Linked DNA regions of Saccharomyces cerevisiae S288C. The protein of the gene in region 1 purifies or fractionates together with the protein of each later gene. This does not show direct contact. Each region holds a gene or a part of one and is shown in the gene's direction. Other genes may lie near its edges. The genes, in order: EHD3, AIM9 and TIM11.

Evidence for each region.
Region 2: the proteins of EHD3 (region 1) and AIM9 fractionate together in Saccharomyces cerevisiae (co-fractionation; one large-scale study listed by BioGRID). This does not show direct contact.
Region 3: the proteins of EHD3 (region 1) and TIM11 fractionate together in Saccharomyces cerevisiae (co-fractionation; one large-scale study listed by BioGRID). This does not show direct contact.

Annotation. Positions count from the first base shown.
Region 1 is NC_001136.10:522,550-526,262, reverse strand, and holds EHD3 (mitochondrial 37S ribosomal protein mS47 EHD3), read left to right. Parts: upstream 1-1,549; coding exon 1,550-3,052; downstream 3,053-3,713. Other genes in the region: lysine--tRNA ligase KRS1, read right to left, coding at 1-823; 3-deoxy-7-phosphoheptulonate synthase ARO3, read right to left, coding at 3,335-3,713.
Region 2 is NC_001137.3:318,127-322,351, forward strand, and holds AIM9 (Aim9p), read left to right. Parts: upstream 1-1,836; coding exon 1,837-3,720; downstream 3,721-4,225. Other genes in the region: ICP55 (aminopeptidase), read right to left, coding at 1-216; YER078W-A (uncharacterized protein), read left to right, coding at 520-684; YER079W (uncharacterized protein), read left to right, coding at 794-1,426.
Region 3 is NC_001136.10:1,111,345-1,113,970, reverse strand, and holds TIM11 (F1F0 ATP synthase subunit e), read left to right. Parts: upstream 1-1,677; coding exon 1,678-1,968; downstream 1,969-2,626. Other genes in the region: PEP7 (phosphatidylinositol-3-phosphate binding protein), read left to right, coding at 1-1,491; mitochondrial 54S ribosomal protein mL38 MRPL35, read right to left, coding at 2,279-2,626. UniProt on the Saccharomyces cerevisiae protein: Mitochondrial membrane ATP synthase (F(1)F(0) ATP synthase or Complex V) produces ATP from ADP in the presence of a proton gradient across the membrane which is generated by electron transport complexes of the respiratory chain.

The DNA of each region.
Region 1 (3,713 bases):
TCATCATTGGAGTTTCTACTTCAATAAACTTTCTTTGGTCCAAAAATCTTCTGATGTAACGGATAATTTCAGAACGGGTAATAAAACGGTTTCTGGCGTCTTTGTTCATGATCAAATCCAAATAACGCTTTCTGTATCTGGTTTCCTGGTCTTTGAAACCAAAGTGGTCGGCAGGTAACATGTGCAAACATGGTGTCAATAATTGCACTCTGCTAACGAAGACGGAAACTTCACCTTCACCACCTTTCTTTGGTTGAGTTCTTCCGACGTAACCCTCGACACCAACGATATCACCCCTTTTCAAAAGGTCGTGATCCTTTTCGTAAGAGTCTGGGTCGCAGTAGTCCTGCAATTGGGACATCAATTGAACTTCAACACCATCACCGTGAAGAACATAGAATTTCAATTTGGAGCCAGATTCTCTTTTGGCATGAATTCTACCAGCAATTGAAACCTTCTCTTCAGGTAAGGTTTCACCTTTTTTCAAATGCGCATATTTGGCCAAGAACTCAGGATTGGATATAGAAACGTGAAACTTGTGTGGGTATGGATTTGGTTCGTGAGTCTTTCTCAATTCTTGAATTTGGCGAGATCTTGTTTCGAAATATTGCGATGGATCCAGGTCAGCGAACAAATCTGTTTTTTTTTTGGAAGCCGGTTTTGGTTGAGCGGCAGCCTTTTTGGCGGCCTTTTTAGCTTCGACTTGTCTTTGCTTGATACGCTTCTTCAATTCAGACTTGGAGACCATTTCCCCGGTAGCTTCGTCGAGATGTAGGTTAGCAACACCTTCAGCGGCGGCTTTGACATTATCTTGTTGAGACATTATGCTATTGAAGTTTATTACGGATTTCTCGGAGGAAGGACAGAGCAATAAATCAATGTATGTAAGATAATTATACTTTTCTTTCTAAACAAAAAAGTGGCTGTATATATAACTTCGAAGTTCATTAAGAGTCATTTCATCATTCATCGATAATTCAAGCTAAAAAAAAAAGAAAAAAAAAAAGAAAAGCGCCGAAAAAAATTCAAATGGCAAATATTTTCACAACACCCATACACTACACCAAAAATATTCCTACATCACTAATGCCATTAGCATTCCATAAACTACTAACCAACAACTAGAACAGAACTTGATCTATTGTGCTCATGGGTCGGAGAAGCTCGCCTTATCCGCATCGTTTCCTGGGTTAATAGAAAGGTTTTTTGAATTCTTAAACATGTAATATCTCAAAACTAACACTTAAACATTATGCCGAAGAGAACAGTCCCTAACCCATTTGTAGTAAGCAGCCTTACAGGATTCCAAGGATTCAGCCAGCCAAACTGACCCATTGCGTTTTCTACCAATCTTCTCTTGTTTAGTAACACAATCCGGGTCACCCTTCGGAACTTCGGAATTGGAGAGGCAAGTGCAAAGAAAAGTGTTAAACCTCGGAGCCAAATGATTGATGAGGTAGCCGAGAAGATAAGAGCAGCTTGTTTCCTGCGCCTGTGTACGGGAATCCTCATTTATATAATACTTGGTTCTGTTTAGCCACCACAAATAATGCTCAGAAATACGCTAAAATGTGCCCAATTGTCGTCTAAATACGGATTTAAAACTACCACACGTACATTCATGACTACTCAACCCCAGCTAAATGTCACCGACGCACCACCTGTGCTATTTACCGTTCAAGATACAGCTAGAGTTATCACGCTAAATAGGCCCAAAAAGCTCAATGCTTTGAACGCCGAAATGTCAGAATCCATGTTCAAGACTTTGAACGAGTATGCAAAGAGCGATACTACAAACTTAGTCATTTTAAAGTCATCCAACCGACCACGTTCGTTCTGTGCTGGTGGTGATGTAGCTACTGTGGCAATATTCAATTTTAACAAAGAATTTGCCAAGTCCATCAAATTTTTTACTGATGAATATTCTTTGAATTTTCAAATAGCAACTTACTTGAAACCAATTGTTACCTTCATGGACGGTATCACCATGGGTGGCGGCGTTGGTCTATCCATTCACACGCCCTTTAGAATTGCTACAGAAAACACCAAATGGGCCATGCCCGAGATGGACATTGGTTTTTTTCCAGATGTAGGCTCAACTTTTGCTCTCCCTAGAATCGTGACATTGGCTAACTCAAACTCACAAATGGCCCTGTATCTATGTCTTACAGGAGAAGTAGTCACAGGAGCAGACGCTTATATGCTCGGCTTAGCGTCTCATTACGTCAGTAGTGAAAATTTAGATGCTTTGCAGAAAAGATTAGGTGAAATTAGCCCCCCTTTTAATAACGATCCACAATCTGCATACTTCTTCGGGATGGTTAACGAATCCATCGACGAATTCGTATCACCATTACCAAAAGATTATGTTTTCAAGTATTCTAACGAGAAATTAAACGTTATTGAAGCCTGTTTTAACTTGTCTAAAAATGGTACTATTGAAGACATAATGAATAACTTACGTCAATATGAAGGTTCTGCGGAAGGTAAGGCTTTCGCACAAGAAATCAAAACGAAATTGTTAACCAAGTCACCATCCTCTCTTCAAATCGCCTTGAGATTGGTGCAAGAGAATTCCAGAGATCACATAGAATCTGCTATCAAAAGAGACTTATACACAGCAGCTAACATGTGCATGAACCAGGACTCTTTGGTGGAATTCTCTGAAGCCACAAAGCATAAACTTATTGATAAACAAAGGGTCCCGTATCCATGGACAAAGAAGGAACAGTTATTTGTATCTCAGTTGACATCTATCACATCTCCTAAACCATCGCTACCAATGTCATTACTAAGAAATACCTCGAATGTTACTTGGACTCAATATCCCTACCATTCTAAATACCAATTGCCTACAGAACAGGAAATCGCTGCGTATATTGAAAAGAGAACGAATGATGACACTGGCGCCAAAGTTACCGAAAGAGAAGTACTAAATCACTTTGCCAATGTGATTCCTTCTAGAAGAGGGAAACTGGGTATCCAATCGCTATGTAAAATTGTTTGTGAAAGAAAATGTGAAGAAGTTAACGATGGCTTAAGATGGAAATAAAACCTGAAATAGCAGCCCCGTGGCTCGTAAAGAATTTTGCCAACACTTCTATGCATGTAAATAATAAAAGTAAAACATAACGCTATATTTGTATATGGATGTTTATTTAATGATACATAGAAAACTGTCATTTTCTTTCTCTTTTCTTATAAGTATTTTTTTTTATAAAAGGCAAAAAAAAAAAAGTTTGAATGTAATAAATATGGTTCAGAAAGAAATTACAATAAATCAAAAGTTTTGAGTATCATTCAAGATTATTTGCATTTTTCCCTCATTTACAGGCTATTTTTTCAAGGCCTTTCTTCTGTTTCTAACACCTTCTGCCAATAGCTCCAATACCTGTTCGGTGGACTCCCAGCCAATACAAGCATCCGTAACAGAACAACCATACTTCAATCCCTCTCTGCCACCTTCTTTGGGAATATCTTGTCTACCTTCATTTATGTTGGACTCAATCATAACACCACAGAGACTATTCTCACCCTCCGTCAGCTGGTCATAAATACATTTGGCAACCTTTGGTTGGTTCTTGAAATCTTTATTACTGTTGCCGTGGGAACAATCGATCATAATTCTTTTCTGGGAATCATCAGTCAAACCGGCCTTTTCTAACTGTTTCTTAGTATTTTGAACACTTTCTTTGTCAAAGTTAGTACCGTTC
Region 2 (4,225 bases), on another chromosome or scaffold:
TTCATAGTATTCCAAGGCTGAAATGCCTGGTGTCAACTCGCCCGACTTTATAAGGAACGGCCTTGTCTCATGCAGTGGTTGGCCTGCCTCAATGGGGATTCTGACTCTATTAGTAAAAGTATTACTTTTATGCTGTTCCAATGGCGATACCAACTTCGAGAAGTATCTTTGGCAAGATTGCATAGAAAACCGTACTGGGTTTATCCTATGTAACATATCAACAGAAAATGACCACTTTTCCTATTAGCTTTTTCTATTATATTCTTTAGAATTGGTGGAGTTTCTTGCGCAAACGATCCACTTTTGCAGTGCAGTAAGTGATCCCTATACCAGGTGAGTTGATATATATTTACTGTATCTTGTACTATTTTATGAACAAGAAAGGCTATTACTCACAACAGTTTTGGTTTCAGTCAAAGTTTATGTGTGAGTGTGAGTGTGAATGTGTGCGTGTTGCATAATTGCATTTGGCCTTTCCGAGAAATAAGTCATTCTTTATTTTTCTCTCTTTACGGTTTAATGGTGCGGCTTTCGTATCTGCGTCTCATCCTTCCCCCTTGCCGCTTGTCAGAACTCTCTAGCTTGGCGATTCTCTATCAACCTGTTATTCCAATTCTTATATCTACCATTACCTTCCAGCATTTTTTCAAATGTGTTCACACGCCCTGTAACGTTTATATATAAATATTTTAATATTTAACTTAGCTTATGCATATATAGTTAAAAGGGATAATAACAATAAGAATAAAAAACACAAACTGCTGAGATAAGAAAAGGAAGCGAATAGTTAATAATGCCTGATTCATCACATTCAATAAGCTCAAAAGATGTTGCATCTGCCATCTCTCTCTATGATCAGTCCATTTACACTAATAACAGGTCTACTAACCTGGACTTAGATCAGAGATCAATGAGCCCTTCCAATATTGCCTCTGGTGAAGATAGGATAACGAGAACGAACTCAGGTTGCTCCATCACATCAGGTGCCTCCATGATTGCCACGAAGGATGGTATTCAGGGGATTAATGTCAAAAGAGATGGGATTCCGAAATATTCACTTAATTTATTGAATTCCATGGTTCGAAAACAATATGATCACAATAATGGAACAAAGTCTCCTACCCCGAAGACTAGCAATATGGTAGACCCTAAGAACAAAAAGAAGAACAAAAAAAAGAAGAATGACAAGGATGACAAATACAAGGTATCGCATGATCAAACCGAAAAGTTTTACAAACTCAACACCACTTCCAACTCCAATCTCACCTCTGATTCTACTACTTCGTTATCGGACCAGTTTTATTTCCAGAAAAGTAACGCTGATTCTGCTCCATTAGACAATGCAAATTACCCACTCTCCGACCATTCCCCCTCCCTAAACTCTATGGATAATACTACAAAGCATAGCAGCAATGTGCACACTTGAATCACGTGAACCACAGTAACCTAATTGCTCAAATTTTGAGAGTTAAAGGAAAGAATAAAATATATAAATGATACGTTTATACCCGCTAAAAAAAAAAAATATAAAACAAAAAAAGGATCTCATAAGACGATTTGTTGGGATATGTCCACATCTTTCGGCTATATACTACATTTAGCTGTTTCCCGTTTCTTTGTATTATTCCCTTCTTATGTATAACTTTTACTAGTAATAATTATAATAAATATTCGTTTTGAAACATGGTAATTTCAAATGTTCAATGTATTTTCGGGCCGATTGCTGACCAGCGACACTTTAAGCCGAACTGTATTTAGTAGACTCCCTTTTCTCATCAGCGAAGAAGAAGTAGCAAAAGCTGTTTAGCAAGCAAGACAGCAATACGAAGACCAAGCATGATTAGGTACACTGTTGCTGGCCATTCCAGAAGGTGTGTAGTAGGAGCTTCGAAAAGAGTGGGTGCAATTAAATGTATCACCGTCGCCGCCACCAAGAGATTTATCTCCAATAAGCCAAACGAAGTTTTTACCAAGCTAACGAATGACAATGATCCAAAGAGAGATGCCTTTTTCAAATATACGTGGGGCTCATGGCTTAAAAATGATAAGCAAGAAAAGGAAAAAAGATTCACGAAGTTTTCGATTGAAGGTTTAAATCGCATTCTCAATGACATCTACATTCAATCTAATGAAATGGCTAAGGCCCCCGACGGTAAGATCTTACCACCAGTGTTTAACAAGAACTTGACCGTTTCATTGGTCAATAACGTTGTACCAAAGAATATAGGTAAAATCAACCCAAATGAAAAAGTTCAAGTAACCACATTATCTAGTATTCACGAAGGTAAACATCACAGAATATACAAGGTCGACACGAATTTGAACAAGGCATTTATCTTGAGGATTCCTTATCCGCTGGAAAATGAAAACACTCTATCCTACAGAATAAGAAGTGAAGTAGCAACCATGGATTTTGCTGACTTGAAGTTGGGCATCAAAGTTCCCAAGATTTTTTGTTATGGTGTCAATTCTTTGAACCCTGTAAGGCAGCCTTTTGTCTTACAAGAATTTATCGAAGGAGAACTCTTGATGAAAGATTGGGATCCATTGATTGAAGACGGTTCCTCCAATCAAAAAAAATATGACAATGTTATTAAACAAGTTTCTGATTTTCAGTCGAAGTTAGTGTCATTGAAATTAAATGCATTTGGATCCATATATTTTAACAATGACTTAAAAGACGGAAATGAGAAGGAGTTTGTTAAGGAAGACATATACGATGGGGAAACTAATCCGGATCTACAAAACAGATGGAAAATTGGGCCATCCGTGGAAAGATGTCTCTGGAGACATAAATCTCACTTGGATTTTCATAAACAAATGAAACCTTTTTTGGGACCATGGCCAAAGAAGTCTCCAATGGATATAATTAAAAATACTGGCCTATTGGAAGCTGAAAATGCTAAAACTAGAATAGCCATGAAAGAGGCAGGAAGTTCAGCTGAATTGATGTATCCTCGAACTTTGAAGGAGCAAATAACTACCTATGAAAATTTAGCTAAGATTGCCCCGGATTTATTCAACGTCAAAACAAAGGCCATTCCAAATATGCAGGAACTATTGTCACCACGTTTGTTTCATCCTGATCTAGACCCCATGAATATTATTGTTAACAAAGAAGCACAAGAAGCCTATCTATTAGATTTTGAAGGAGCATGCACAAAACCTTTCATTTTACAGAATTCGCCACAATTCATCGCCTATGATGGGCCCAAGATTTATGACTTAAAGGAGGACATAACCGATTTTGACAAATTATCTGAGGCGGAAAAGGTGCAATATCAGTTCATGTACAAGCGCACCCGTAATCAACATCAATGGGAGAAAAAATTAAATGACAATAATCCTAAATTAATTACTGCAGTTGCCCCACCTGTTAAGCTACTGAGAAGCCCATATATTGCAGCTGTCGAAAGAAAAACGGAAGAAGAGTATTTACTTATTGATGAATCACTATTGCAATTGAAGGAAGTTTGGGACATCTTTGCCCAGAATGAGTTAGTGAATCAGAAAAAGTTTCCTCTAAACTATAGTAAAGAAGATATTGAAAGACATGTTGAGGATTTGCAAAAATTACACGAAAAGCTAATCTCTACACCATTTGCTGCCACTCAAGGGTGGATTCCTCAAGATATGTTTGATCAACTATTAAATTCCGGCAGTATTGTTAAGCAAGAGAACGGAGACTACACCGTGAAGCAACCTGAAGCTACCAAATAATCTATACTAAAAATGAAATATTTTTTTGTTTTCTTTACCTCATTCAACTGTATAGAACGTTATAACAAAATAATCAAGTTAAAACCCTTTTTTGTACACAATGGAATCTCTTCCATTTACTAATCAACTTAACAATGCTGGATTGGATATATTGATAACGTTTTAAAAAGCGTTGCGTGATGTTTGGGTGCAATTGGCGGAAAAGCGGAACTTTCAAATTTACGATAGGTGGAGATACATCTCCACCTTTCTCCCCATTATCTTTGAATTTTCCTCAAATATATAAAGAGAACAACAAATCCATAGAAATGCCATTGTTTAATCCTGATTATCTACATTGTTTTAGTTTTTTACTCACAATCGAGTAATGCCTTTGTTTGGCCAAGCTATGTGCAAATATCACAAATTAAAAATTTGGTTAAGCAGTTAGGCTGGACCTAATATTTTAGAAAAACCTAATTTTTTTTGTGGACCCATTTTCGATATTTACTCACAAATGGAATTC
Region 3 (2,626 bases), 590 kb from region 1:
GCACTAAATGCACATTTAGATGTTGAGCATGGGTTTAACGATAATGAAGATTCACTCGGTTCCAATGACAGTCGTTTAGTCAATGGTAAACAAAAAAAGGCCAGATCTGTTGATAGCAGTGCGCAAAAGTTGAAAAGAAGCCATTGGGAAAAATTCAAAAAAGGGAAGAGCTGCTGTCACACATGTGGAAGGACTTTGAATAACAATATTGGCGCCATTAATTGTAGGAAATGTGGTAAACTGTATTGCAGAAGGCATCTTCCTAATATGATTAAACTTAATCTTTCCGCACAGTATGACCCCAGAAACGGGAAATGGTACAATTGCTGCCATGATTGTTTCGTCACAAAACCTGGCTATAACGATTATGGCGAAGTAATAGATTTAACACCAGAATTCTTTAAGGTACGAAATATAAAAAGAGAGGACAAAAACTTAAGGCTATTACAATTAGAAAATCGGTTTGTCCGTCTAGTTGATGGTCTGATTACACTCTATAACACATATTCTAGATCCATTATTCATAATTTGAAGATGAATAGTGAAATGTCCAAGTTAGAACGTACAGTTACTCCATGGAGAGATGATAGAAGTGTACTCTTTTGTAACATATGTTCCGAACCATTTGGGCTATTACTAAGGAAGCATCACTGCAGATTATGTGGTATGGTTGTTTGTGATGATGCAAACAGGAACTGCTCAAACGAAATAAGCATAGGTTATTTAATGTCTGCAGCGTCAGATCTGCCATTCGAATACAATATACAGAAGGATGATTTACTTCATATTCCTATATCCATAAGATTGTGCTCGCACTGTATCGATATGCTATTTATTGGCAGGAAATTTAACAAGGACGTTAGAATGCCGCTAAGTGGAATATTTGCTAAATATGATAGCATGCAAAATATATCCAAAGTAATTGATAGTCTCCTGCCCATTTTTGAAGACTCATTGAATAGCCTGAAGGTGGAGACTGCCAAGGATTCTGAAAATACACTTGATCCAAAGAATCTGAATGATCTCGCTCGATTAAGACATAAATTACTCAATTCTTTTAACTTGTATAATACACTAACAAGACAGCTCTTAAGTGTAGAACCTCAAAGTCATCTAGAGAGACAACTTCAAAATTCGATCAAGATAGCTTCCGCTGCATACATAAACGAAAAAATCCTACCGTTGAAGTCGCTTCCGGCAATTTTGAACCCAGAGGGCCATAAAACGAATGAAGATGGGCAAAAAGCTGAACCAGAGGTAAAGAAATTATCGCAACTAATGATCGAAAACTTGACCATAAAAGAAGTGAAAGAGCTGAGAGAAGAATTGATGGTCCTAAAGGAACAAAGCTACCTTATTGAGTCCACAATTCAGGACTATAAGAAGCAGCGTAGATTGGAGGAGATCGTCACACTTAATAAGAACTTAGAAGAATTGCACTCAAGAATACATACCGTTCAATCGAAGCTGGGTGACCATGGGTTTAATTAAGACATATCTTTATTATTCGATCATTCGCGGAATCTCCACGCTAATTGGTCCGCGGAGCCAATCAGATCTATTTAAGGGTATAAATTTTTCTTTAGTTTTTTTGACTTTTCACACAGAAATTTTAGATAAAAGGAAGTATTATATCGGAACATAACGTATATAGGAACTAGCTGAGTGAGTTAAAGGATGTCGACAGTTAATGTTTTGAGATACTCTGCGTTGGGTTTGGGGCTATTTTTTGGTTTTAGAAATGATATGATTTTGAAGTGTAATGCTAAGAAGAAAGAGGAGCAGGCACAGTACGAGGAGAAATTGAAGCTGGTAGAGGAGGCAAAGAAGGAATACGCCAAGCTACACCCTGTAGTAACTCCTAAAGATGTGCCTGCGAACGCCTCATTTAATTTGGAAGATCCTAATATAGATTTTGAAAGAGTTATTCTTAACGCCGTTGAATCCCTGAAGGAAGCTTCAACATAAATAGAAGCTTCAACATAAATAGGATACTAAAAATGCACATTAGCTCGCACTGAATGACGAAGTTATGATGGATTCTCGTTCGCTAGATGTTCCATATTTTTTTCTTCATTCGTTAGTGCACAAACAATAAGGAAAAAAATGAAATGTATATATTCTAGAACATACTAATATCATACGTATCGTATTGTAAACAAAATTCACATTCCAAAAATTTTTCAGATTCTTACTTTATATTATTTGCATCAAGCTTTATTAACAATGACACGTTATTTTATATGTACAGGATACTATAATGTCATACTATTTAGGATCACCTTCTAACTCTGCTAAAAACCCTTCCAGGTGGTAGGCCATATTTTTCTCTGACGGCGGCGACTTTGGCATCCCATTCGCTTCTCCAGATATGTGCCCCAATAGCGGTTAGATTGTATTTCTTCGTAAATTGCCTGATATCAAAATCATCTCTACTTAGTTCCTTTCGGTCAATCTCTAACATGTTAGGACCTTGCTTATCCTCGATTAAGGGTTGTCTGAATACCCAAACAACGAATCTCTGTTTTCCAGCATTCTTTTCAGGTACCGGAGGTAAGTAGTCAGCGATAATATTAGAACTGTGGAACTTTCTTGGATCTATTAAATTGTCATTATAAGTCAAATT